Linked DNA regions of Callithrix jacchus. The protein of the gene in region 7 binds, or shares a complex with, the protein of the main gene of each other region. Links are inferred from orthologs where the notes say so. Each region holds a gene or a part of one and is shown on either strand. Other genes may lie near its edges.

Region 1 (3,500 bases), on a different chromosome or scaffold from region 7:
ACCTTATTTTATACCTGGAGCTTCCTAAATGATTTCTCTACCTCTAGTTCACCTTGTATACTACCATTGAATTTAGATAGTTTAAAAATTCTTTCACCATTGCTCATAAATTGTTCATTGCTCATAAATCTTTACTATTAATGACTTTTCATTACACACTACTTAAAGTTCAGATTTCTTTGCTTTCTATTGAATGTTCTCTACACTTTTGCCACCAACTCCTTTTTTTCATTAGCTAATTGCTTTCTTCCACCTGAACTCTTCTAATTCAGGTAATGTAAACTGCTCTGTTCACTGTCCTTCAAACCTTCATTTCAGTATCCCTTTTAATACCAGTCATCCTTCCCAAATGCCCTAGTGCTCCTCTTCATCTATCATTCAAGGAACAACTTGAATCTTTCCAAATAAGACTTCTGTAATCAGTAATATGTCTCCTTCCTTGTTACTAGCAACAAAATCTCTCTTTTTCCCCTCTAAACTCAGGGTCCTTAGCCCTAACATTTACATGATAACTAATCATGGAGAGACTGGTGATAATTCTTATTTTAATATTTTATCTCTTCTGTCATATAACTGTTTAATATTTATGCCATGCCTTCTCATTTTGGTTGTTAATCCCTTGAGAACAAATAACAATCAAATTATCTGTGCAGTATGTTAGTGCATTTTATATAGTAAAATTTGTAAACACTTGTTACTTTGTCATATAAAAATGCAATTTATAAATGAAAAAACAATTTCAATACTGAAGAACAATTACACTGTTACTTTGCTATTTTAGAGAGATAAAAGATACAAAAGAGTTATATTTTACTGATTTGGTGTTATCTCTTAAGATGTAAAAACTTAAGAATTAGAAATTTTTTAGTAAAGAATGCTTCATAATTTGCTTTTCCCTTTTAATCCAAAAGGTGGCAATGAGAGCCTTGGGGTTTGATGTAAAAAAAGCTGATGTACTGAAGATTCTTAAAGATTATGACAGAGAAGCCACAGGGAAAATCACCTTTGAAGATTTTAATGAAGTTGGTGTGTATTTTAATAGTCTTTGTAATCAGCAGCTGTTAGGAAATTGTCTGATTAATATCAGTTTTTTTATTTTAAATTCTCTAGGTTATGGAATTTTCTTATAGAACACTGGTGTATAATGTGACTCTTACTCAGTTTTGTTTGTTTGTTTTTAACTTTTATTTTCAGAGAAATATTTATGGCTTTGCTCTGAGATTCGTAGTTTTGTTTTGTTCTGAATATTCTAACCAGGGAACTATTGTGTAGCTGTTTATGGAAAGATGCTTTTCCAAGTTATGTGTATTTATATTATGTGATAAAACTCGAAGGGTGATCAAAAAATTATTTTTATTTAGTAAAACAGAAAATTTGATATCCTGCTATTTGGAAGATGTTTCCCAAGATCTTTCTGGTATGTGATTTTTGTTGGCTAAGTGGGACAAGGGGGAACTGGTAGTTGGTATCTTTAGCTGTAGATGAAATTCATGACTTCAGGTTGACAAAGTTGATAAGAGGCTACATCCTCTGGATAACCTTTATCTCAGTGGAAAAAGCTATCTATTTAGAGTTAGGATTGGGGAAAGGGTTGTAGTAAAGGAGGCAGTGGGCATACCGGAAGCAGGAGAAAACATCCTAGAACCACCAACTGAAGATAATGCGTCATAGGCTTAATATGGTTAAATTTTTATATAGTTGATTTTAGTAAATTATTTTTAGCATATATAGACTAGGTTTTTTTCAAAATAGAAGATTCTGGAAGGCAAGGACTTTGCTATTATGACCTAAATACATATAGCCCAGAATATTATCTACAAAATGTATAAATATTCAGTTTTATTTCTATTATTTTTTTTCTCAACCAGTGGGTCGTGATATAAGCACATCATATAAATATTTTAAGATATTTAAAAAATTTGGAAACTGTTACGTACACAAACTACTTATTTTAAATATTCATCAAGAAGCAATATGGGAAGCAAAAAGAAATGGCATTTAGTAGACACAGAGAAAGTTTATATTCATGTCATTAGTCAGGTTTTTTTTAAATCCAAAAGCTCACGTCAAGAGCAGTTGAGATGGAGAAGAAATGATAAACCTAATAGAAAAAGAAAAAACCACAACATAGAAGATACTCAACTTCGGAATTAATATATGACTGTTTAGAAAAGCTACTTGTCCATGTAGGGAGCATTTTCTTTTTATCCTCTAATTTATAGAATTACTTATTTGAGGAGAGGGAGAGAGCCACCTTTTGTTCTCTCAGAACGGACACTCTCCTGAGGTTTATGATCACAGTATTCCTAGTTTTTACCTTAGATTGTTTATTTGTAGAAACAAGGTATACAGTGGAAATGACTATTAGGGAGGAGCTATAATTCAGGTATGTTTAGTACAGTATAGTGGTTTAGCACTTGGAACCAGATTCCCTAGGTTCATACCTTGGTTTTGCCACTTTATAGCTCTGGAACTTGGTCATTTTAATACTCTGTGCTTCATTTTCAACTATAAAGCAGGGATCATTGTACTCTCTCATAAAATTCTTGTGAGGATTAAATAAGTTAATGTTATGTAAAGTACTTAGAAAAGGCCTAGCATGTTGTAAGTGCTACTAAACATTTGCTATTATTATTTTAAAAAAATTGTCTTTGTTTCAGGGGCTTGAAATAATCACATATGTATCACTGGGACATAAAATATACTCTTTGTATATTTTTTATTGATCTTTTTCATAAAGTCTATTTTAAGCACTATATCATCATTAATAATTTTACAAAATATTTTATCTTAAATGAATACAGTTTAAAAGTTGTGATTTTTATTGGCATTTGGGACCAGAATCCCATGCCACCTTCACTTTTTCCTGACACCTATCTGTTCTATGTTATTAACAAAGCAGAAATGCTGGATTCCTTGTAGAATAAATAGGTGGGGCAAAACTTCAGCTTTGACACTCAAAGATTAACCTTTTGTCAACACTTATCTTAGCAATTTTAAGGCTACCTATGGAGAAGTACCAGGTGTCAAATAAAAGTTTATTACTGTTTGGGAATCAGTCAGTCAAGAACTATGTATTCCCACTTTTGTTTGTTATTTTTAATTAATGACTGACCACAGATTAATATGTTTTATACTTTGGGACAAATGATTCTAATTCAGAACATTTGAGTCCTAGTTTTATGAACTACCTAAGGATACTGTTCCAAAATATATCTGGATGAATTTGGCACTTAACTACTATAGATTCTTCCTACTGAAAAAAAGCGTTAAAATATATTTAATTTTAGTTTAGAGTCAAGACAACCTGAGACTAGTGAGTAACAGATGCTTTAGGAATGACTTTCTTTAAGACCAACGTAAGTCAAACGTTTGTATGCTCTTTTTGACATGTACTACTTATTACTGCCGTTTCAGATAATAATACTGTATTATTGTCTTCATTTTGCTTATTTAACACTGAATTTTTTGTTAGGTACTGTACTGGGATTGGGAAGAAG
Region 2 (3,500 bases), on a different chromosome or scaffold from region 7:
CAAAACAAATTATGGAGGGAGAGGAAGAGAGAGATGGGTGCACAGAACTATTATTTTAAACACAGAGAAACAATTAGGATCCAAAAAATACTTCAACTAAAAATGCTTGCCCTGGGCAATGCATGTATTTCATCAGCTAGACTCTGGCTTTCTTGAAGATATAAAGTCCTATTAAAACTATAAAAGAGATCAAGGAAACTACATGTGAAAGGGCAGACTTACTGGAAGCGCAGAGAAGTCAGCAATAAGACATCTGGGCTTTCTAATTTTCCAAAATGACCCAGAGAGTCGGTAAAATCAATGATTTTAAATTTGCTGATGAGTAGGGACTAGGGAGAAAAATCAGGAGGCACAGAGAAAATATCTGAAGGATTCTGGATTTGTGTTCTAAGACAGATGGCAAAAGGAACTCAGTGCTGAAAAAACACAATTTAAGTGGTAACAGGACATTTCTTTAAAAAATCACCATCACCACTCAACAGCAACTAAATGGTCAGGAGAGCATGAGAGAGGCCTTAGGCACCCTGGGAGAATGAAGGCAACTGCATAACATCTGTGCCTGGCCATTCTGCTTCTCCACTGGCACCGGATTCTCAGAGCTGGACCAGGTTGAGGTGACTTGCCTTGCCACTCTAGAAGCACCAGGGAATAAGGTCTTATCTATGTTTCTGGCTCTGTCAACTCATACACACTGGGATCCTCCTGGCCCCAGTGCAGCCTGTTAAAGAAACTTATGCAAAGTGCTCAGCACAGTGCCTGGTGATTATCATCACCCAATAAGCCTGGCCACTGTCATCAGCACTGTTACTTGCCTTTCTTCTGAGGGAGGTGGTATGAGCAGTGTGAGCTCATCTACAGATTGCTGGGTCAAAACTACTCATTTTTACAAATGAGAAAAGTCAGTCCCTGAGGGGCAAGTGACTTTCCAAAGACCAGAGGGAGATTCAGGGTCAGAACTGGTCTCTGACAACAGGAACTTTGACCCTCCTGCCATGACAATCAATGGGCAAAGTAAGTCTTGGGGATCCCTCAGGCTTCCAGGAGTCACTGTGGAGTTCAAAACCCTTGGAAATTGCATTTTGAAGGAAGTCAGGTGCACTTGCAACTTTTGCATCTTGGGAAAATGGGTGCAGTAATCAATTTGTTTTTCTTGCATGTTTTCTGAGCCAAGAATGACAGAAATGTATAAGAGCATTCTCAGCTCAAAAAAACGACAGGCATGAACAAATGAATATTCTGAACACAGTAAAAAAGCTATCTAATCACAAATTTACATATTTTAAGGAGATATGTGTGTGTAAAACCAAGGTAATAATCTGGGCCCATAATTTTCATTCAACTTTAAAAATTAAGTAACTCTGTTCAGATTTGTATTTTTCATACCTTAAATCTTAAAATCTAAGTGTATTCTTTTGGTATTTATTAATTCCCAATGGCTAAAAACATTTCTCTAAGGATGCATTTAACCCACCTTTCTACTTCCATCATTCTCTAGTTTCCCAAGAATCATATCGAACTGTGGAAGGAAAAAAACTTTACTCAAATTATTGGACAAAGATATAAACATAATCCATAAGTCTTCAGAGAGAAAAGAGGGTAATACAATGGGATGAATGGGATAAGTCTTACGCAACTAAAAATCAGTGTGACTGAAACAAATATTTTCAATGTTAGAAACCAAAGAAAATTCCAAAAACCCTCTAGGCCTTATCCACCACAGCCATATTGAAGAAAACATGCAGTATGGAATTAGCATGGGAACATGAACACTGAAAACCATGGGGAGGAGAGAAAAGGAAACCCACTCACCTCTCGGCTTTCAATCACAAGCTCACTCACACAGCGCAGAAACATGTTTTCTCCTTGACTATCTTTCTCATCCCTGTAAGGGAAAAAAACAATTCAGTTTCTAGTCCGGACATGAGGTCTCTAACAGTCATTCTCAGAATGGCAGAAATCGAAACTAGCTGAAATAAATGTTCAAAAGCAAATGTTACCTGAGGAAATAGAAGTACTGAAGGGCTTCCCTTGGGTCCGTGGACTCAAACTTCCGGGTGTAGAGCATGAGGAGCCGCACAAAGTTCAGCCGCCGCATGCAAGGAGGGTCACCAGGCTCATGGCTGACTGCATTGTGGGGGTCAGAGTGGGTCACACCACACTGCCCCACTGACCCATGCAACCCAGAAACTATGGAAGCTGAATCTGCAGACCCAGCAGCGTCTACTCCTACAGCCCAGTCAATATTTGCCAATATAAGCTTTGGCCAGTCCTTTTTACCACCCCATCCTCAATTCCTCTCCAGGCCCAGAGTGGAGAAAACAGCACTTTGCCGTAAATTACTAATACGTGGTCTTTGAATGAAAAGATAATCCAACTGACCATTACAGCATGTGCTCTGGGCTGATTTTGCTGCACCAATAAGGAACCCACAGCCATGCATCCAATTTACTTCCTCTGTCTCCCCTGACTCTCTCATCCCAGGCAGGTAGGCACATGGCTGGCTAGGGTTTCCAATGTCATTAAAGCAAGGGCCCTAATGGAAATCAGACCCATGACTCTAGGGACTGTTCTTCTGCACTATTTTCCAGGCAATCAGACTGGCCACAAAGCTAGCACTTTGAACAGCACTTTATATAGTTAACTTCCAAGGGAATACTAATGTGGGGGAAAGCAAGAACCCTAACACTAATCATCTAAAATGCTCAGCTGTCTACAATGCTCTAAAATGACTGCTATCCTTTGCTCAAATCCTTATTGGTTGTGGTTTTGGGGCACCAGGGATGTGCTGTGGTTACATTACTGCCAACCCAATCCCAAATACTCACGGAGCTGAGCACTCTGTCCGGAGGACTTTAAAAGCAATTTCAGCTCAAACAGCACAAGTGCCACATGGACAGCATGGCAGCGCAGCCGCTCCATGCGAAAAAGAAAGGCAATTGCAGCTTCAAACTGTGCTGTCAGGAATAGGACTTGGAAGTAGAGGAAGGGCTGTTGGTTCACTGTAAAGTGCGACTCGCCTGGGGAAAGAGGAGAGGAGATAAAACCAACTCGGAAGGTGCTCACCAGCGGCCCATATGTGCTAAAACTACCAGCACCTACACCCCCAGACAGCAGCCCTGTGGGCCTATAGAACTTGCTGGGCAGAAGAAAGCACCAGCATGAGCCTGAATTGATCGAGGGAGTCCTGAAGACAGTCAACTGCCATGTGAAATGTGACCTGGCTCCTCCACCTTCTCTAGACCTCATGACTAGAAAGTATGACTGTGTTGTAAAACTCCAACTGCTTGCATTAGGTGGGAGAGACACAGAGTTAAGGACTTAAAATGGACCACAAAGGGAGTATTCATCTCCTTTACCCTGTTAAGTACTCAAGGAGATAAATGAAGATTTCAAAAAAGCTTCAGTTTACTCATATTCACAGAAATTTGAATGCAACAATTGCTAACCACTATTTGGAATCTTCTTTTCTTTCCAGTTTTTAAATAAGGGGGGAAAAAGCA
Region 3 (3,500 bases), on a different chromosome or scaffold from region 7:
CTCAGTATTCTTGGGGGATTGGTTCCAGGACCCCCACATATAACAAAATCTGTGTATACTCATGTCCACAGTTGGCTCTGCACAATTTGCATGTACAAAAAGTTGGCCTTCCATATTTGCAGATTTCACATCCAGATAATACTACATTTTCTATATAAGTCGAGTTGAAAAATATTTGTGCGTAAGAGGAGCTGCACAGTTCAAACCCATGTTGTTCAAAGCTCTGCTGTACTTTGAACAACAGGTATTCTTATGATAATACTCCAGGTATTCTTATGATAATGTAAGCTAAAGAAAACATTACTAAGAAAATCATAAGGGCTAGGCATGGTGGCTCATACCTGTAATCCCAACACTTTGGGAGGCAGAGGCTGGAGAATTGCTTGGGTCCAGAAGTTTGCGATTAGCTGGGCAACATAGGGAGATCCCTCTCTCTACTACAAAAAATTATTTAAAATTAACCAGGCACAGTGATTCACATCTGTAAACCCAGCTACTTGGGAGGCTGAGGGAAGAAGATTGAGTGAGCCCATAAGATGGAGGTTGCATTGAACTATGATCTCACCACACTGCCCTCCAGCTGGGTGAGAGTGAGACCATCTCAAAAAAAAAAAAAAAAAAACAATCAGGCCGGGCATGGTGGCTTGCACCTGTAATCCCAGCACTTTGGGAAGCCAAGGTGGGTGAGTCCAGGAGTTCAAGACTAGCCTGGGCAATAGTGAGAGCCTGTCTTCTTTTTTAAAAAGGTTAGAAAATTAATAAATAACTTCTAAAAATTAAAAAATTAATAAATAAAAATCATAAGGAAGAGAAACTACATTTATAGTACTATACTATATCTGTTAATATTGTAAGTTTATGCTGTCTGTTTACAGGATGAATTGTCTGTCTGAAATGGACAAGTAATTCTCCTGCCTCAGCCTCTCGAGCAGCTGGGATTACAGGCATGTGCCACCATGCCTGGATAAATTTTGTATTTTTAGTAGAGATGGGATTTTTGTCTTGTTCTCCAGGCTGGTCTCAAACTCTGGTCTCATGTGATCTGCCTGCCTCAGCCTCCCAAAGTGCTGGGATTCCAGGTGTGAGCTACCAGGCCCGACCTCAAGTGACACTTCTGTCTTAGCCTCCCAAAGTGCTGGAATTACAGGCACAAGCCACCATACCCAGCCAATTTTTCAATATATTTATTGAAAAAAAGTCCACATATAAGTGAACCCACACAGTTCAAACCTATGCTGTTTAAGGGCCAACTGCACTCACTTTTTAGAATTTAAAATTATTCTGGGCTGGACACAGGGGCCCATGCCAGTAATCCCAGCACTTCAGGAGGCCAAGGTGGGCAGATCACTTGAGCCCAGGAGTTTGAGACCAGCCTGGGCAGCATAGTGAAAAGCCATCTCTACTAAAAAAATACAAAAAATCGGCTGGGTGCGGTGGCTCATGCCTATAATCCCAGCACTTTGGGAGGCCGAGGAGGGTGGATCACAAGGTCAAGAGATCGAGACCATCCTGGTCAACATGGTGAAACCCCGTCTCTACTAAAAATACAAAAATTAGCTGGGCATGGTGGCACGCACCTGTAGTCCCAGCTACTCGGGAGGCTGAGGCAGGAGAATTGCTTGAACCCAGGAGGCAGAGGTTGTGGTGAGCCGAGATTGCGCCATTGCACTCCAGCCTGGGTAACAAGAGCGAAACTCTGTCTCAAAAAAAAAACCAAAAAGTACAAAAAATCATCAGGGCATGGTGGCATATGCCTGTAGTCCCACCTACTTGGGAGGCTAAGGTGGGAGGATCACCTGAACCCGGGGTGCAGAGGTTTCAGTGAACCATGATCGTGCCACTACACCCCAGCCTGAGTGACAAGAGTGAGACCCTGTCTCAAATAAACAAACATAAAATGAAATTATGTTTAGCAACAGAAATCCATATCTGTATGAATCTCTCCTGAATATATTTGAGATTTTGAAGTAAACTTTTTTATTACTGATATACTTTGATCTTTTTCTGTTTTTTAGCTTTTAATAAGTGAGAAACATACAAATCTCATAGCATTTTATACCTGTCATTTGCCTCAAGACCTAGCTGTTGCCCAGTATGCTTTATTTTTGGAAAGTGTTACAGAATTTGAGCAGCGCCACCATTGCTTGGAGTTGGCTAAAGAAGCAGGTAAAAATGGTTGAAAACTTTGTCCATTGACCTTTGTAGGCAAATACTCATTTTGACTATAGTAATATTTGTCCTAGTTTTAAATCTTATTTCTTTTTAGGGGAAAAAAGTAATAAAATTTTCAGGGAATTTCTGTTTTAGGACTAATGTTACTTATGCTGTAACTCATATGTAAAATATCTTTTAGTTTTGGCATTTTCTTTTATATAAATATCTTTTATATTTTACATATTTCATTTTTAAGGATTATTGTTCCAAATTTACCAAATCATTGTGACTGTTTAGAGAATATTAGTATCAATGATTAATCTTTATTTTTTGTCTCTTCAAAAAATAATTTAGATTTGGATGTTGCAACAATAACAAAAACTGTAGTTGAGAATATTCGAAAGAAAGATAACAGTGAATTTAGTCATCATGACCTGGCCCCAGCCCTAGATACTGGCACTACTGAGGTAATTTAGAATGGGGGGGCAAAGGTGTTGTGTAACTTCTAATAATCTTTTATGTTATTCCTTGGTGAATTTCTCCCTTCGTAAAAGAAATTCTATGTTAGTTTTTCTTTTTTAAGAATGTTTCTTCGTCAGCCCATACATGTTAAACTACAAAAATTGGCAGCAAATTTTAAGTCTTATGTAAAGGATTACTTGTAGTATGTTAAAGGAAGCTTCTTTAATAGAAAGAAATCTTATGTAAAGGATTACTTGTAGTATATTAAAGGAAGCTTCTTTAATAGAAAAAAAAGATCTCAGCTTTGGTTTGTTGCTCATCAGGTTATTTTAAATATTTGTTAATCACTAACTTATGTAGCTTGCTTACTCGTATTTTCAGAAAGGAATAGAAAGTTATGTCTAAGAAAACTATTTTAGAGTAACATTTAAAGGAATCACATGGTTAAGTTGGTGAGACATACAATATATAGTTCCAAATTAATAATCCAGTAAATTTTTTCTATAATTTATTTTTATTTATTTATTTATTTTGAGGCAAGGTCTGGCTCTGTTACCAAGGCTGGAGTGCAGTGCCGCTATCTTGGCTCACTACACCTTTGCCTTCCAGACACAAGCCATCTTCCCTTAGTCTCCCGAATAGCTGGGGCTACAGGCGTGTGCCACCATGCCTGGCTACTTTTTTATATTTTATGTAGAGACAGGGTTTTGCTGTGTTGCCCAGGCTGGTCTTGAACTCATAAGCTCAAGAGATCTGCTTGCCTCGGCCTCCCAAAGTGCTAGGATTACAGATGTGAGCCACCATGTGTGGCAGTATTTTCTATGATTTAATAGAGAGCTGTGAAATATGAAAATACACTAAGAAAAGTTAGATGTTATCATAAT
Region 4 (3,423 bases), about 44 Mb from region 7:
TAGCAATTGGCCGGGCATGGTGGTATGTGCCTGTAATTTCAGCTACTCAGTAGGCTGAGGCAGGAGTATTGCTTGAGCCCAGGAGGTTGAGGCTGCAGTGAGCCATGATCATACCACTGCACTCCAGCCTGGGTAATAGAGGGAGATTCTGTCTTAAAAGCAAAAATATTTGACTGCATATCAAGAGGTCCTCGGTTCAAATCCGGGTGCCCCCTAAAAATAAATAAATAAAATGAAATGAAAAAAAAAAAGAATATTTGGGGCCAGGCATGGTGGCTCACGCCTATAATCCCAGCACTTTGGGAGGCCAAGATGAGCAGATCACTTGAGCTCAGTAGTTTGAGACCAGGTTGGGCAACGTGGTGAAATCCCATCTCCACCAAAAATACAAAAAATTATCCGGGCATAGTGGCACACACCTGTGGTTTCAGCTATTTGGGAGGCTGAGGTGGGAAGGAGGATCACTTGAGCCTGAGAGGCAGAGGTTGCATTGAGCTGAGATGGCACCACTGCACTCCAGCCTGAATGAGAGTGAGATTCCAACTAAAAAACACAAAAAGCATTTGTGATTCATGGAAGGATGTCAAAATATCAACATTAAATGACAGGCGTATGGAAGACGTTGAATCCGGCCCTCATGGATGACTTTGAAAGGTTCAAGACTTTAGTGGGAGAAATATCACAGATGTGATGGAAACAGCAAGATAACTAGAAGTGGGCCCTGAAGATGTGACTGAACTGGTGTCACTCATGAGGAATTGCTTTATATAGACAAGCAAAGAAAGTGGTTTCTTGAGATTGAATTTGTTCCTGGTGAAGATGCTGTGAACATTGTTGAAATGCCAGCAAAGGATTTGGAATATTATTTAAGCCTAGTTGATAAAGCAGCAGCTGGGTTTGAGAGAACTGACTTCCGTTTCTAAAGAAGTTCCACTGTAGGTAAAATGCAATCAAACAGCATGCCGTGCTACAAGGGAAATCATTCATAAAAGGAAGAGTCAATTGATATGGCAAACTTCACTGTTACCTTGTTTTAAGAAATTAGCATAGCCATCCCATCCTTCAGCAACCAACACCCTGATCAGTCAGCAGCCATCAGCATCAAGGCAAGACCCTCCACCAGCAAAAAGATGGCATGCTGAAGGCTCAAGTGATTGTTAACATTTTTAGCAATAAAATATTTTTTAATTAAGGTATGTATGTTGGTTTTTAGACATAATGCTATCATTGCACACTTAATAGACAACAGAAGTATACTATAAACATAACCAAACAATCAAAAAATTTATGTGACTTTATTACGATACTTGCTTTATCGTGGTGTTCTGAAATGGAACCCACAGTATCTCTGAGGTATGCCTGTATGCGCTTTTAATTCTGAAGTCCAACATTATTTCTCCTTGCTTTCTGTCTTCCTGCCATGTCTTCTGTACTTTTAGAAACCGTGCACTTGTGCAGACATTGTTCTCAATATTTTGTTTCTTCAGATGCCATCATTAATGAGAAATATGACTACCTGAAGGGGTTCTTGGAAGACTTGGCACCTCCAGAGCGCAGCAGCCTAATTCAGGATTGGGAAACATCTGGACTTGTTTACCTGGACTACATTAGAGTCATTGACATGCTCCACCGTATACAGCAGGTACCTGAGATCCTGAAATTGCTGCCTGATTTTCCTTTTCTCAGGCCCTTCCATCTTTAGAGCCCTCACAAGGCCTTAGTATATACTTGAGAACGCATTGGCAGACATATTACTGTAAAAGCAGGCAGGACATCTTGCTGAGGCTCATTTGATATAACCATTTTGACAGCTGTATTGAAACTTAAAAATGCTTTTTTTTTTTTTTTTTTTTAAATATATAAGATGGGGTTTCACTATATTGGTCAGGCTGGTCTCTAACTCCCAACCTCAGATGATCTGCCCACCTTGGCCTCCCAGAGTTCTGGGATTACAGGTGTGAGCCACCGTGCCCAGCCCTAAAAACGCTTTTTTATGTTTATTAACAACTAGTATGTGCAATAGACATTCCTGAGGCTTGTCCATAGACAGTCCCTTTCCCTTGTTCAGCCCTAGTTTGAGTGAAAAACCCAAAGATGAGAGATTAAGAATGAAGATTCGATGAGGATCATTGTTTCACACATTATTTGGCATGTTTTAAAATAGCAAAATAGTTAATTTGGCAGGTTTTAAAGTTGCAAAATGGTTAAGTCTTTATTAAAATGTCTTGGGTCAGTTTTTTTTTGTTGTTTTTTTTTTTATTGAAACAGAGTCTTGCTCTGTCACCCAGGCTTAAGTGATTCTTACGCCTCAGCCTCCCAAGTAGCTGGGACTATAGTGGTGTGCCACCACACCCAGCTAATTTTTGTATTTTTAGTAGAAACAGTGTTTTACCACATTGGCCAAGCTGGTCTTGAACTCCTGGCCTCAAATCATCAGCCCGCCTTGGCCTCCCAAAGTGCTGGGTGTATGCATGAGCTACTGCACCCAGCCTTAAGGTCAGTCTTTGTAGTCATAAAATGGGTCTCCACCGCTTGCTTATGGTACAAAAACCAAACTCATTTTAATAAATATAGGATTTAAGTCCTTTTTGAGGCCTTTACCTTTCCAGCCTTACTCCTACCACTCATTTCACATTCCAGCCTTGCTGCCCTGCTGTACTCACACTAAATTACTTCTGGTGTTTCTAACAAACCATATTATGTTCCACACTTTACCTAGCACACTTAAACCCATCCTTTAACATCTAGGTTGCTGTTAGCCCTACTTCTCCCTCCTTTTCCCCCAGAGATAATTAATTGCACTTTCTTACTACCAAGATACTTAGTGCATTTTTCTACCGTCAGACCATGTTGTAGTTACTTGTTCACATTTCCAGGTTGCCATAAGCCCCTTATGGAGAAATCTTTTAAGGTTAGAGGCAGTAAAGTATAGGAATTAACAGCTCAAGTTCTAGAATTAGACTCATAATTTCAATTCATGGCTTCCAAATTCACTGGCTGTGCAATCTTGTGCAAGTTAACCACCCCCTTTGTCTCGTCTGAAAGAAAAAAGTGGGTGGGGTAGACAGTGGTACAGATTATAGCTCATATCTGATAGATTTTCACAAAGGTTAAACAAAATATACTCAAAGTGTTTAGCATAGTGCCTTTCATGTACTAAATACCTTTTTTTTTTTTTTAAGGCAGAGTTTTGCTCTGTCACCCAGGTTGGAGTGCAGTGGCATAATCTCAGCTGACTGCATCTTCCATTTTCCATCTCCCAGCTTCAAACAATTCTCCTGCCTCAGCCTCCCCAGTAGCTGGGATTACAGGTGTGTGCCACCACACCCAACTAATTTTTATTTTTAGTAGAGACGGGGTTTCACCATGTTGGCCAGAGTGGTCTCAAACTCCTGACCTCAAATGATCCACCCACCTTGGCCT
Region 5 (3,500 bases), on a different chromosome or scaffold from region 7:
CTTCTGTTTCCAAGTTCTTTGGCTGGAGAGACTCTGGGAAGTTTTTCAGGACTGCGGGTTGGTCAAGCAGATGATTCTACAAAGCCAACCAATAAGGCTTCATCCACAAGCCTAACTAGTACCCAGCCAAACAAGACGTCAGGCATGCCTTCAGGGTTTAATTTTACTGGCCCCTCAGTGTTAGGGAAGCTCTCAGAGCCCCCTGTGACCTCCTCTGCAACCACCACCACAGTAGCACCACCAGCAGCTACCAGCACGAGCACTTCCTCAACTGGCATTTTTGGCAGTCTGCCAGTCACCAGTGCAGGATCCTCTGGGGTAATCAGTTTTGGTGGGACATCTCTAAGTGGTGGCAAGACTAGTTTTTCATTTGGAAGCCAGCAGACCAATAGCACAGTGCCCCCATCTGCCCCACTGTCAACTACAGCTGCCACTCCCCTTCCAACATCATTTCCCACATTGTCATTCAGTAGCCTCCTGAGTTCAGCAACTACTCCCTCCCTGCCTATGTCCTCTGGCAGAAGCACAGAAGAGGCCACTTTATCAGCTTTGCCTGAGAAGCCAAGTGACAGTGAGGTGTCAGCATCAACAGCCTCACTTCTAGAGGAGCAGCAGTCAGCCCAGCTTCCCCAGGCTCCTCTGCAAACTTCCGACTCTATTAAAAAAGAACCTGTTCTTGCCCAGCCTGCAGTCAGCAACTCTGGCACTGCAGCATCTAGTACCGGTCTTGTAGCCCCTGCAGAGGCTACTCCAGCCACCACTGGGGGCCCTGATGTCAGGACGGAGTCAGTACCACCTGCCTCCACCTTTTCCGTGCCTGGGCAGACTACTGTCACAGCAGCTGCTATCTCAAGTGCAGGCCCTGTGGCTGTAGAAACATCAAGTGCCCCCATAGCCTCCAGCACCACACCCATTGTTGCTCCGGGTCCAGCTGCAGAGGCAGCGGCGTTTGGTACTGTCACTTCTGGCTCATCAGTCTTTGCTCAGCCCCCTGCTGCCAGTTCTAGCTCAGCTTTCAGCCAGCTCACCAACAACACAGCCACTGCCCCCTCTGCCACGCCCGTGTTTGGTCAGGTGGCAGCCAGCACTGCACCCAGCCTGTTTGGGCAGCAGACGGGAAGTGTAGTCAGCACAGCGGCTGCCACACCACAGGTCAGCAGCTCAGGGTTTAGCAGTCCAGCTTTTGGCACATCAGCCCCAGGGGTCTTTGGACAGACAACTTTCGGGCAGGCCCCAGCCTTTGGGCAGTCAGCGAGCAGCGCTGCAAGTGGCTTTTCCTTCAGTCAACCTGGGTTCAGTTCTGTGCCTGCCTTTGGTCAGCCTGCTTCCTCTACCCCCACATCCACCAGTGGAAGTGTCTTTGGTGCCTCCTCAAGTACCAGTAGCTCCAGTTCCTTTTCATTTGGACAGTCATCTACCAATACAGGAGGGGGGCTGTTTGGCCAAAGCAACCCTCCTGCTTTTGGGCAGAGTCCTGGCTTTGGACAAGGAGGCTCTGTATTTGGTGGTACCTCAGCTGCCACCACAACAGCAGCATCCTCTGGGTTCAGCTTTTGTCAAGCTTCAGGTAAGAATTTGTGGAAGATTTTTACTTTGTTTCCCTCTCTGCTATTCGAAACATTAGCAACAGACCCATATTACTTTTGTAATTAAAAGAAAGGGGAGACTCAGAACCCAAAAATAATTTGTAGGTTAAGGAAGGCAGCGTGGAGCACATGCGGTGTCAGGAACTTGTTTGCCTAATTGACTGGATCTGTTACAGTTTAACGCAGCTCCAGTCTTGCTTCTTAACAAGTTGTCGCCTGCTAGCTACCAGAATGACAGTTTCGTGGGGAAAAAACAAGCATCTTTAGTTTAAGGTCCTGGCAAGTAATTTAATGACTGATAGATAGGAATTTTCAAATTTGGAAGGCACTTTAGAGGTCATTATGCCCAAAACCATCAAGTGTCAAGGAGACTGCGCTCATGTCAGGTAGCGCTAGTAGAACCAGCGGGAGAGTCCAAGGGACATCATAGTCCACCTCTCTGCCAGGGTTTTCTGTCCCCTCTAACACCATCTTTCTTACTGTAATGGCAGATACTAACATTTAATTTGGGGTTTTTTCCTTTTTTCAATGTTGTGACTTTTTGTAAAAACTACAGTTTACTGTTTTTGGCAGTGAATTTCTTCACTATTGCATTTTCCATTTTAGCAGCTGCTTTTACTTCCAAAAGTTATCAATAGGCAAGGCAATTTTAAAATCTGTCCTGAGATTTGCTTTCTGATAGTTACCTTATGAAAGGCAATTCTTCAGCAATAGACTCTGGGAGAAAAGTAAGGATCAATGATTTCATGGTGGGCAAGATTACTAGTAACTGCTAATTCATTATTCAGTGAAACTTGAAAATGGTTCATAATTTATTAGAAAGGAAATGTTTTCCTTTCTTCCTTCAACAAATGGTTGTTATATTTATTACTAAATTCAGCTATAAAGACACAGTGTCGAAAAGACAGACACGACTTTGAGACCCACCCAATGCCCTGTGAAGAGGCCATGGACCACTGAATGATGGGAAATGTGCCAATTTGGTCCAGAGAATGGGGAACAAGAAGGCCCTGAGAGTCTCTTAAAAGAGAGGAGGACATTTAACACAGTCCCTATCTCTACTGCGCCATTTGTTCTGCAGTCAGAACTTGAGAAGACCTCATGCACAGGCATGGTCATGCTATTTCAACAGATTCAGAACCCATGAAGGAATCTTCTTCTTTCATTTAGTAACTGTGTGGAAAGGTATCTGAGCTGTCTACTTCAGCCCTGGTTGAGGAATTGAGTCTTGTCCAAGCTCACCTACCCAATCAGTGACAGAGATGAGAACTGAAGCCGGGTGTGATGGCTTACGCCTCTAATCCCAGCACTTTGGGAGGCCTAGGTGGGCCAATCACTTGAGGTCAGGAGTTTGAGACCAGCCTGGCCAACATGGTAAAACCCCATCTCAAAATTCAAAAATTAGCCAGGTGTGGTGGCAGCACCTGTAATCCCAGCTACTTGGGAGGCTGACGCAGGAGAATCGCTTGAACCTGGGAGGCAGAAGTTGCAGTGAGCTGAGATCACGATACTGCACTCCAGCCTGGGTGATAGAGTGGGACTCTGTCTCAAAAGAAAAAAGAAAAAGAAATGAGAATAGAACTCCTGCCTTCTCACTCCTTGTCTGGAGCTCATTTGTTCAACTCAGCACTTCAACCATGTTATGCCATCTGGAAGAAAGATAAACTACCCTGAAAGAATGTGTTGTTTGAGATTCAAAAGAAACCAAGGAGTAGAAATATTTGTAGTATTAAGTCAGCCCTTAGAATTTCTGATCACTGAAAGTAAGCTATTCTTAGCCCCCATCCACTTCGGGGTTTGGTAGGAGAGATGGATTCAGTCCTCAGAACTTTAGAACTTAAACTATTTTAAAATGTTAGCAATGGAAAGGGGTCTTTAAAGTATTTTCTCAGAATCTTCTCCACTTCCTAGATG
Region 6 (3,500 bases), on a different chromosome or scaffold from region 7:
GTGCCACCATGCCCAGCTAATTTTTTGTATTTTTAGTAGAGACAGGGTTTCACCAGGTTGACCAGGATGGTCTCGATCTCTTGACCTCATGATCCACCCGCCTCAACCTCCCAAAGTGCTGGGATTACAGGCGTGAGCCACCACGCCCGGCTGACATCTTAACTTGCTATGTTACATCTATTTGTAACACTTAAATAAATATTTTGCAATTAGCATGCCTTTTTTTCTCCTTTCTATATTAGAGATGGGGTCTCACTATGTGCCCCAGGCTGGTCTTGAACTTCTAGGCTCAAGTGATCCTCCCACCCTGGCCTCCCAAAGTGCTGGAATCACAGACAGGCATGAGCTGCTGCACCTGACCTGAACATGTCTTTTATAATCAGGCAAAAAAACACCCTCATATAAACAATATGTGTACACGAAGTAGGATCCTACCGTGGCCAGACGTTTCAGCAGCTGAATAGCAAGACGTGGCAAAGCAGGGTCATGTTTGTGGTAGATGTATTTGGCTAGAACAGCAATGAGGTTGTTTCCATGAGCACCTAAAGAAGCACAGGAAACAGTTTAGATATCAAGTGTGCTTCATTGAAGTCCTTAGAGCACTGGCTGTTCAAAAAAGTCTCATACTGTACATATGAATGAATTCACCCTCAAGCGCTTGAAGGGCCACAGCAAACCCAGAAGGCTATATCCTTCTCTTTATTGAGGAGCAAAAGAATACCCAGAATTTGGGGGTCAACAGCTCAATCCAATTCATCAATAGCAAAGATACATTTTGGACAAAATAGGTGCTTATTTTAGTCCCCCCCACCGCCCCGCGAGATGGAGTCTTGCTCTGTCACCCAGGCTGGAGTGCCATGGTACAATCTCAGCTCACTGCAACTCTACCTCCCAAGTTCAAGCGATTCTCCTGCCTCAGCCTCCCAAGTAGCTGGGATTATAGGTGTGCACCACAACACCTGGCTAATTTTTTGTACTTTTAGTAAAGACGGGGTTTCACCATGTTGGCCAGGCTGGTCTCGAACCCCTGACCTCAAGTGATCTGCCCGCCTTTGCCTCCCAAAGTGCTGGGATTGCACATGTGAGCCACCACACCAAGCCCTTAAAATAGGTGCTTTTAACAAATAGTTTGGAAAAAGGCATTGCACTAAAATGAAAAAACTCATTAAAATCCTCAAATTACACAACCAGAAAGGGTATTGAACATATCCAGACACCTAATTGGAAACGAGGAAACTGGGTCCCAAAGAGATTAAATAAACCAGCGTAAGGTCACAGAGATTTAATGGCCAAAGTTATTAGAATTTCTTTACACGAACTCAGGAGGCGGACATTGCAGTGACCCAAGATCATGCCACTGCACTCCAGCCTGGACAACAGAGCTAGACTCCGTCTCAAACAAACAAAATAATAATAAATTTTTAAAAACCTAGAATGTGCCAATATGTCCAACTATAGCTCAATGGAACATTCTGAATTTATGCTAAACTGCTAAGTATACTGCAACTATGCTAAGATATGAAAAAAAAATCTGAAACCCAAAACACTTCTGGTCCCAAGCATTTCAGATAAGGATACTCAACCTGTACCATTATCACCATTTTATAGATGAGAATTTGGAAGCAGAGTGCTTTAATAATGCACCCAAAGTCACAGTTGATTGGACACAAAATTTGAACCATGGCAGTCTGACTTCAAATCTGCGTCCTTAACTATTATTCTATCATCACTAGGAGGCAGAAATAAAGTACCATCTAGTCCTTTTGTTTACAATTCCAGGAAAGGAGCTGGTAATCCTTCCCAAATTTCCTCAAGAAGTTAAGCAGAAAATATTGACATCCCAAAACACTGAAATATGTATTTATAGGCAGAAATGTTACTGACTAGAAAAGAAATACATACCATGTTGTGAGAGGGCCTGTTCCAGAGGTGACACCACATTAGAAGGAGGTTTCAGCCGAATCACGTTGTTGGTGATGGAGAATGCCAGTTTCACTGTCTTGATCAGCAGCTGGCCCTGCCCCTGGCCCTCTGACCCATCACTAGGGTGCCAAATGGAAACCAAAGTTGATTCAGACACTATGACTTCATTCGCAACATATGTGCTCTCATGAATTAGATTCCAACAATAATCCCAGAGTTCAACAGCTTCTGTTAGAGGCCCCAGTACAAACTAGGAGAGAGGAGGAGTAATCAACTCCTTTTGCTAAATGCCAGTCTATACAGCAGCCACTAGAGTATATAAAGGCTACGTCCTAGGAAGAACAATGTCGTCTTCTAAAAGCTACTACAAGTTTTAACTTAGACTGGAGTTATTAGAAACATGCAGGCACAATAAAGACAAACAAACCGAAGGTCAGAAGGAGCCCTACCTTCGAGGCTGAGCAGCCATCACCATGTCAATGGTGTCCACGCCAATGCCCATGATATTGATAACTGTCTGCCCTGCTTCTGTGTATGCCAGGCTGCAGATGCAGAGAGACTGCAGGCTGGGAGTGTGACTGGAAGACAGAGGTGTTCTGAGTTACTGGGGAGCCATTCAGTGTATCTTGGAAGGAAGGGCATTGTCCAGTTGCGCTAGGGTGGCAAATCTAAACTACTGGACACTGGAGACCAGCTCTCTGCAAGCTGAAGGCACTCTGATCACTTTCCTGAAATAGACTTGATCACCTAAAGATTACCCTAAGAGGCAATCTAAATGTCCATCAATTAACAGACACAGCTACTGAAAAGCATCATGATTAATCAATACGATGGAATGCATGGAACCATTAAAACAAGACATTTATATGCAATGGTATGGAAAGAAAGTTATAGTCAGTACAGAAAGAAGAAAAAAATGAGAAAACATAGTAACTGGCTCTGGGAAGTAGATACATAGGAAGAGCATCTTGTCAGGAATGAACTTTTGTAAAGATCATAAAGAATTATTAACATGTTACTGTATGTGTATGTACACACACACCCACACACCCACACACACACACACACAACCCCTTATTACCTGCTGTGCAGGTCTGTCTCGTGGCACAGGTTCAGTATCGCATGAATCAGCTCCAGGATCAGGCAACCTGGACTCCAAAAAAGACACAGGAATGATGTGGCCTTGTGTAATGACCCTTATCTCAAGAAAGGGAAAGAAAGAAGCTCTCCCTGGAGCCAGAAATCCCCAGATCTGCCCTGCCCATGCTGTCCTTACCAATCTGTTCCCTCACTCCATGAGAGTTGTAGCGCCACTTATGGTAGCTGGGAAGCATCTCCTTCAGCACAAACATTACACAGGGTACAAGTCCTTGGCTCTGGGTACTACCAAGTTGCCCCTACAAGAAACCATGTTTTGAGGGCTTCCGCACATGTAAGAAAAAGTCTTTTAGTTACCTACAGATTTAATTCCAAAACCACAGATAGGGCCAAAGGAAATCTAGGCAAACCTTGGTCATCAATGAAAAAAAAAAAATCAACAAACGTCAAAATTCCTACTTTATAGTTGAGCCCAAGTT
Region 7 (4,284 bases):
CAGATGCTGGTAGGTGGGGAGATGTCATTGTAGAAGAAGTCCTCCCTTCCTCCTTCCCAGATGTATCTCCTTCTAGCTATGTTGGAATGCAGTGGCAAGATTGCAGCTCACTGTAACCTCCAACTCCTGGGCTCAAGCAATCCTCCTATAACTGAGACTACAGAGGCACACCACTACGTCTCGCTAATTTTTAAAAAAATTTTATTAGAAATGGGGGTATGTTGCCCAGGCTGGTCTTGAACTCCTGGCCTCAAGCCATCCTTCCATCTTGGCCTCTGATTGCTTTTTCTAAATGAAGAAGCAAGCTGAGAGTGAGGATGAGGGAGGAGGCAATGAAAGTTACAGGAGTTACGAAATAAATACTCATTCAGAACAGTTTAAGTGGAGAAAGCAAATACAATGTGTTTGCTGGGCAGCATTATGGGCCCACTCAAGGTTCACAGTCTTGATGGAGTTACAGGGAGGCATGTCAGTATGGGTGTATAGTTTTATTTTTATTTATTTATTTTTGAGAGGAGTTTCGCTCTTGTTACCCAGGCTGGAGTGCAATGGCGCGATCTCGGCTCACCGCAACCTCCGTCTCCTGGGTTCAAGCAATTCTCCTGCCTCCGCCTCCCGAGTAGCTGGGACTACAGGCACGTACCACCATGCCCAGCTAATTTTTGTATTTTTAGTAGAGACGGGGGTTTCACCTTGTTGACCAGGATGGTCTCGATCTCTTGACCTCGTGATCCACCCGCCTCGGCCTCCCAAAGTGCTGGGATTATAGGCGTGAGCCACCGCGCCCGGCCCAACATCTTCTAAACACTGAGGACTATGGGCCTTTACTGTATTGACAGCCAAGTGCAAGATCATGGGTTGAATGAATGACAAAATGCCTTTCACGCATCCAAGTGAGTAGCACTCAGGAAACCTCAGCAGGTGGCAGCATCAAGGTTTAACTAATACATTACGTTTCATTATACAGGTATACACGAATACAGTCTCTTGGTGGGGGGAAAAGGCCAAAACCAAAGGCCTTTTCCTCACTACCCCTTCCTCACTCCACTATCCCAAGTGTCGCCGCTGAAGAGTGAAGGGAGGATCGGGCAGAGATTTACAGACGGACAGCCTGACCAAGTGAGAGATGACCGTGAACGCGGGATCCGGCCGTGCCTCTCCGGATCTCGCCCCTCCTGGGAGACTCGACCCGCGTTTTTGAAACCGAAACAAACCCGGCCCCGCCCCCTGCCCTGCAGCCGCCGAGAAAAGAGCACCGCCCTCTGGAGGCGTCCTAGCCGACCACTCGAAGGTTCCCACAGATAGAATCGGCCTCCCCGGCCCACTTCTCTTCTGGCTTCCTCGCTGCCCACCCTCATTCTCAGGGTGGAAGCCCCGCAACGAAAGGCCGGAACTGCCTTTCTGCTCGCAACTTGCCTCCTGCCCGCAGCTCTGCCGCCCCGCCCCCGGAAGTGACGCAGGCCGCGCGGACCTCCCTTTGTCCCGTCGGGCATCGCGGCGGCGGCGGGAAGATGGCGGCGGCGGGTTCGATAGATCGGAGCTTCGTGGAGCTAAGCGGAGCAGAGCGCGAAAGGCCGAGGCACTTTCGGGAATTCACAGTCTGCAGCATTGGTACGGGTTGCCAGGAACGGCGCGATCCGATCTGTCCCCTCGGGCTCCTCTCATGGGTCCCACGATCTGACTCCCTGGTTCATCCTCCTGAGTCCACATGCCTCTAGCCCCGGGATCAGAGATTCCTTGGCGTCTGATGTTTTCCTCTTCGTATGGGTTGTCAGTCTGTCACCCTCTGCTTTGTCAGCTCCCTTAGTCCCTGTCATTTCTCGGAGGACGCCTGTGCAGTCTGACCACGTTCATTTTGCAGGGACTGCAAATGCCGTGGCTGGCGCCGCAAAATACAGTGAGAGCGCGGGAGGCTTTTACTATGGAGAGAGTGGCAAGTTGTTCTCCATCACCAGAAACAGGTTCATTCATTGGTAAGTACTGTGGTTCTCTAGACTCCCCTGGCAAGGTAGAGTTTGGTGTATAAATTTTCATCGCTGTTCCCAGTGTTATTCTAGAAATGGTAATTGACATTTAGGGAAAGAGAAAGGTTGTTTTTTCAGTTCATATGAGAATCAGGGGACAACTGAGACACAGAGTTCTAGAAGAGGTACCCCCCACACACACACATATCAAATAACACTAAAAGCAGAGGATATGTAGCTTAGGGGATAAAGCCCATAAGACCGGTTTTAAACATGAACCCATTATGTTTTATTTACAGCTTTCTTCATTGTTCATATATGTTTGAGCTTCAGTAAGTCAGACATTGTGCTAGGTACCAGGATGAAATAAACAAAAACAACCACCATTTTCATCATGCAAGAAGTTGTAACAATGTCAGAGTAGATATGGATCCACTTTTCATGGAAGTTTTGTGGAGGAAAAAGACATTAAAACTAATGACCACAACACAGGTATATAAAAACAAGTTTTCTTTTTTTTTTTTTTTTTTTTTGAGACAGAGTTTCGCTCTTGTTACCCAGGCTGCAGTGCAGTGGCGCGATCTCGGCTCACCACAACCTCCACCTCCTGGGTTCAGGCAATTCTCCTGCCTCAGCCTCCTGAGTAGCTGGGATTACAGGCACGCACCACCATGCCCAGCTAATTTGTTGTATTTTTAGTAGAGACGGAGTTTCACCATGTTGACCAGGATGGTCTCGATCTCTTGACCTCGTGATCCACCCGCCTCAGCCTCCCAAAGTGCTGGGATTGCAGACTTGAGCCACTGTGCCAGGCCAAAAACAAGTTTTCATACTTGCCCTAGAGGAAAAATATCGGGGTATGAGAGGCTGAGAGGACCAAATGTAATTAGTGGGGCAGGGAAAGGCTTTAAGGAATTCACAGTTACCCTGAGATCTGAAGGACACGAGGTTAGCCAGGCAAGGGGAGCGGACAGAGAGCAGTCCGGCAAGTAGGATCACCATATGCAAAGGTCATAAGTGGCGAGAATTTGGCAGATTTGGAACTGAACAAAGATCTGTGTGGCTTAAGTGCAGTGGGTAGAACAGAAAGTGATGTGAGATACTGAGGTTGGTGAGGGAGGCAGGACTCTGATTATGAGGGACTCTTAGGCCATTTTTAAGGATTTTTGGATTTTATCCTAAGTACATTGAGTTATCATTGAAAGGTTTTTAAAGAGTAACATCAAAATTGCAATTTTGGATGGGAAGAGTTAACACTGGGGATTCCAAAAGTAGGGAGGGAGAGAAGCAAGAGTTGGAAAACCTATTGGGTACTGTGTTCAAAGCTTGGGCAGCGGGATCATTAGAAGCCCAAACCTTATGTATATAGGGATATACACACAGCAAACTCGTAACAAGCCTGCGCATGTATCCCTGAATCTAAATTTTTTCAGATGTATTTTTAGAAGATCTCAGTCTACTTTTGTGTGGAAGGTGGATTTGGATTAGATGGGTATAATAGGTATAATACAAAGAAAATTTTGCTCTTAGGATGACCTAAGTAAGAGTTGCTGGTGGCTCACTTGTGGGAATGACTAGAAACAGAAAAGTAGATGGACTCAAGATGCCTTTGGAAGATAGATTCACTAGGACTTGGTGGTGGATTGAATATGGGGTAAGGGATGGTAAATGAAAAGGAGAGAGCAGGACAACTCCCTGGTGTCTGATGTGACTAACCAGATATGAGTGGGGAGGGGTTGCCATTTACAGAGATAACATAGAAGATGGATTTTGGAAAGATATGAATAATTGTATCGAAAATAGTAAATCTGAAGTACCTGGGCAGCAGCCCTTTGAAAATGTCAAGTAGGCCTTGAAAGTTATACATCTAAGGCTCAAAAGAGAGACTTATATTAGAGATACAAATTTCGTTTAATTAAGAACTATTTTGGCTGGGTACAGTGCCTCACACCTGTAATCACAGCACTTTGGGGAACTGAGGTGGGAGGATCTCTTGAGGCCAGGAGTTCAAGACCCCATTTCTAAAAAAAAAAAAGTTTTGTTTGTTTTTTTTTTGAGAGACAGTCTGGTTCCATTGCCCAGGCTGGAGTACAGTGGTGCAATCACAGCTCACTGCAACCTTTGCCTCCTGGGTTCAAGTGACCCTCCCACCTAAGCCTCCCAAGTAGCTGGAATTACAGGTCTGCACCACCACGCCCAGCTAATTTTTGTGTTTGTTTTTGTAGAGATGGGGTTTTGCCTTATTGCCTGGGCTGATCTCAAACTGCTGGACCCCTTCTTGGCCTCCCAACTTGCTGGGATTACAGGAGTGAGCCACCAT

Evidence for each region.
Region 1: NUP160 (region 7) and CETN3 share a complex: the UniProt entries of both Homo sapiens proteins name them as parts of the nuclear pore complex. The link is inferred for Callithrix jacchus from reciprocal best matches to the Homo sapiens genes NUP160 and CETN3.
Region 2: NUP160 (region 7) and NUP93 share a complex: the UniProt entries of both Homo sapiens proteins name them as parts of the nuclear pore complex. The link is inferred for Callithrix jacchus from reciprocal best matches to the Homo sapiens genes NUP160 and NUP93.
Region 3: NUP160 (region 7) and NUP107 share a complex: the UniProt entries of both Homo sapiens proteins name them as parts of the nuclear pore complex. The link is inferred for Callithrix jacchus from reciprocal best matches to the Homo sapiens genes NUP160 and NUP107.
Region 4: NUP160 (region 7) and NUP98 share a complex: the UniProt entries of both Homo sapiens proteins name them as parts of the nuclear pore complex. The link is inferred for Callithrix jacchus from reciprocal best matches to the Homo sapiens genes NUP160 and NUP98.
Region 5: NUP160 (region 7) and NUP214 share a complex: the UniProt entries of both Homo sapiens proteins name them as parts of the nuclear pore complex. The link is inferred for Callithrix jacchus from reciprocal best matches to the Homo sapiens genes NUP160 and NUP214.
Region 6: NUP160 (region 7) and NUP188 share a complex: the UniProt entries of both Homo sapiens proteins name them as parts of the nuclear pore complex. The link is inferred for Callithrix jacchus from reciprocal best matches to the Homo sapiens genes NUP160 and NUP188.

Annotation. Positions count from the first base shown.
Region 1 is NC_133503.1:120,379,172-120,382,671, forward strand, and holds part of CETN3 (centrin-3), read left to right. Parts: intron 1-911; coding exon 912-1,026; intron 1,027-3,500. UniProt on the Homo sapiens protein: Plays a fundamental role in microtubule-organizing center structure and function. As a component of the TREX-2 complex, involved in the export of mRNAs to the cytoplasm through the nuclear pores.
Region 2 is NC_133521.1:14,711,607-14,715,106, reverse strand, and holds part of NUP93 (nuclear pore complex protein Nup93), read right to left. Parts: intron 3,018-3,500; coding exon 2,826-3,017; intron 2,125-2,825; coding exon 1,998-2,124; intron 1,883-1,997; coding exon 1,810-1,882; intron 1,517-1,809; coding exon 1,472-1,516; intron 1-1,471. UniProt on the Homo sapiens protein: Plays a role in the nuclear pore complex (NPC) assembly and/or maintenance. May anchor nucleoporins, but not NUP153 and TPR, to the NPC. During renal development, regulates podocyte migration and proliferation through SMAD4 signaling.
Region 3 is NC_133510.1:50,419,531-50,423,030, reverse strand, and holds part of NUP107 (nuclear pore complex protein Nup107), read left to right. Parts: intron 1-2,015; coding exon 2,016-2,166; intron 2,167-2,508; coding exon 2,509-2,621; intron 2,622-3,500. UniProt on the Homo sapiens protein: Plays a role in the nuclear pore complex (NPC) assembly and/or maintenance. Required for the assembly of peripheral proteins into the NPC. May anchor NUP62 to the NPC. Involved in nephrogenesis.
Region 4 is NC_133511.1:69,112,007-69,115,429, reverse strand, and holds part of NUP98 (nuclear pore complex protein Nup98-Nup96), read left to right. Parts: intron 1-1,487; coding exon 1,488-1,642; intron 1,643-3,423. UniProt on the Homo sapiens protein: Plays a role in the nuclear pore complex (NPC) assembly and/or maintenance. NUP98 and NUP96 are involved in the bidirectional transport across the NPC. May anchor NUP153 and TPR to the NPC.
Region 5 is NC_133502.1:179,850,767-179,854,266, forward strand, and holds part of NUP214 (nuclear pore complex protein Nup214), read left to right. Parts: coding exon 1-1,567; intron 1,568-3,500. UniProt on the Homo sapiens protein: Part of the nuclear pore complex. Has a critical role in nucleocytoplasmic transport.
Region 6 is NC_133502.1:177,568,838-177,572,337, reverse strand, and holds part of NUP188 (nucleoporin NUP188), read right to left. Parts: intron 3,321-3,500; coding exon 3,200-3,320; intron 3,072-3,199; coding exon 3,005-3,071; intron 2,502-3,004; coding exon 2,373-2,501; intron 2,043-2,372; coding exon 1,903-2,042; intron 543-1,902; coding exon 436-542; intron 1-435. UniProt on the Homo sapiens protein: Component of the nuclear pore complex (NPC), a complex required for the trafficking across the nuclear envelope. Required for proper protein transport into the nucleus.
Region 7 is NC_133511.1:112,905,990-112,910,273, reverse strand, and holds the start of NUP160 (nuclear pore complex protein Nup160), read left to right. Parts: upstream 1-1,484; 5' UTR 1,485-1,511; coding exon 1,512-1,611; intron 1,612-1,861; coding exon 1,862-1,973; intron 1,974-2,263; exon of another isoform or gene 2,264-2,456; intron 2,457-4,284. UniProt on the Homo sapiens protein: Functions as a component of the nuclear pore complex (NPC). Involved in poly(A)+ RNA transport.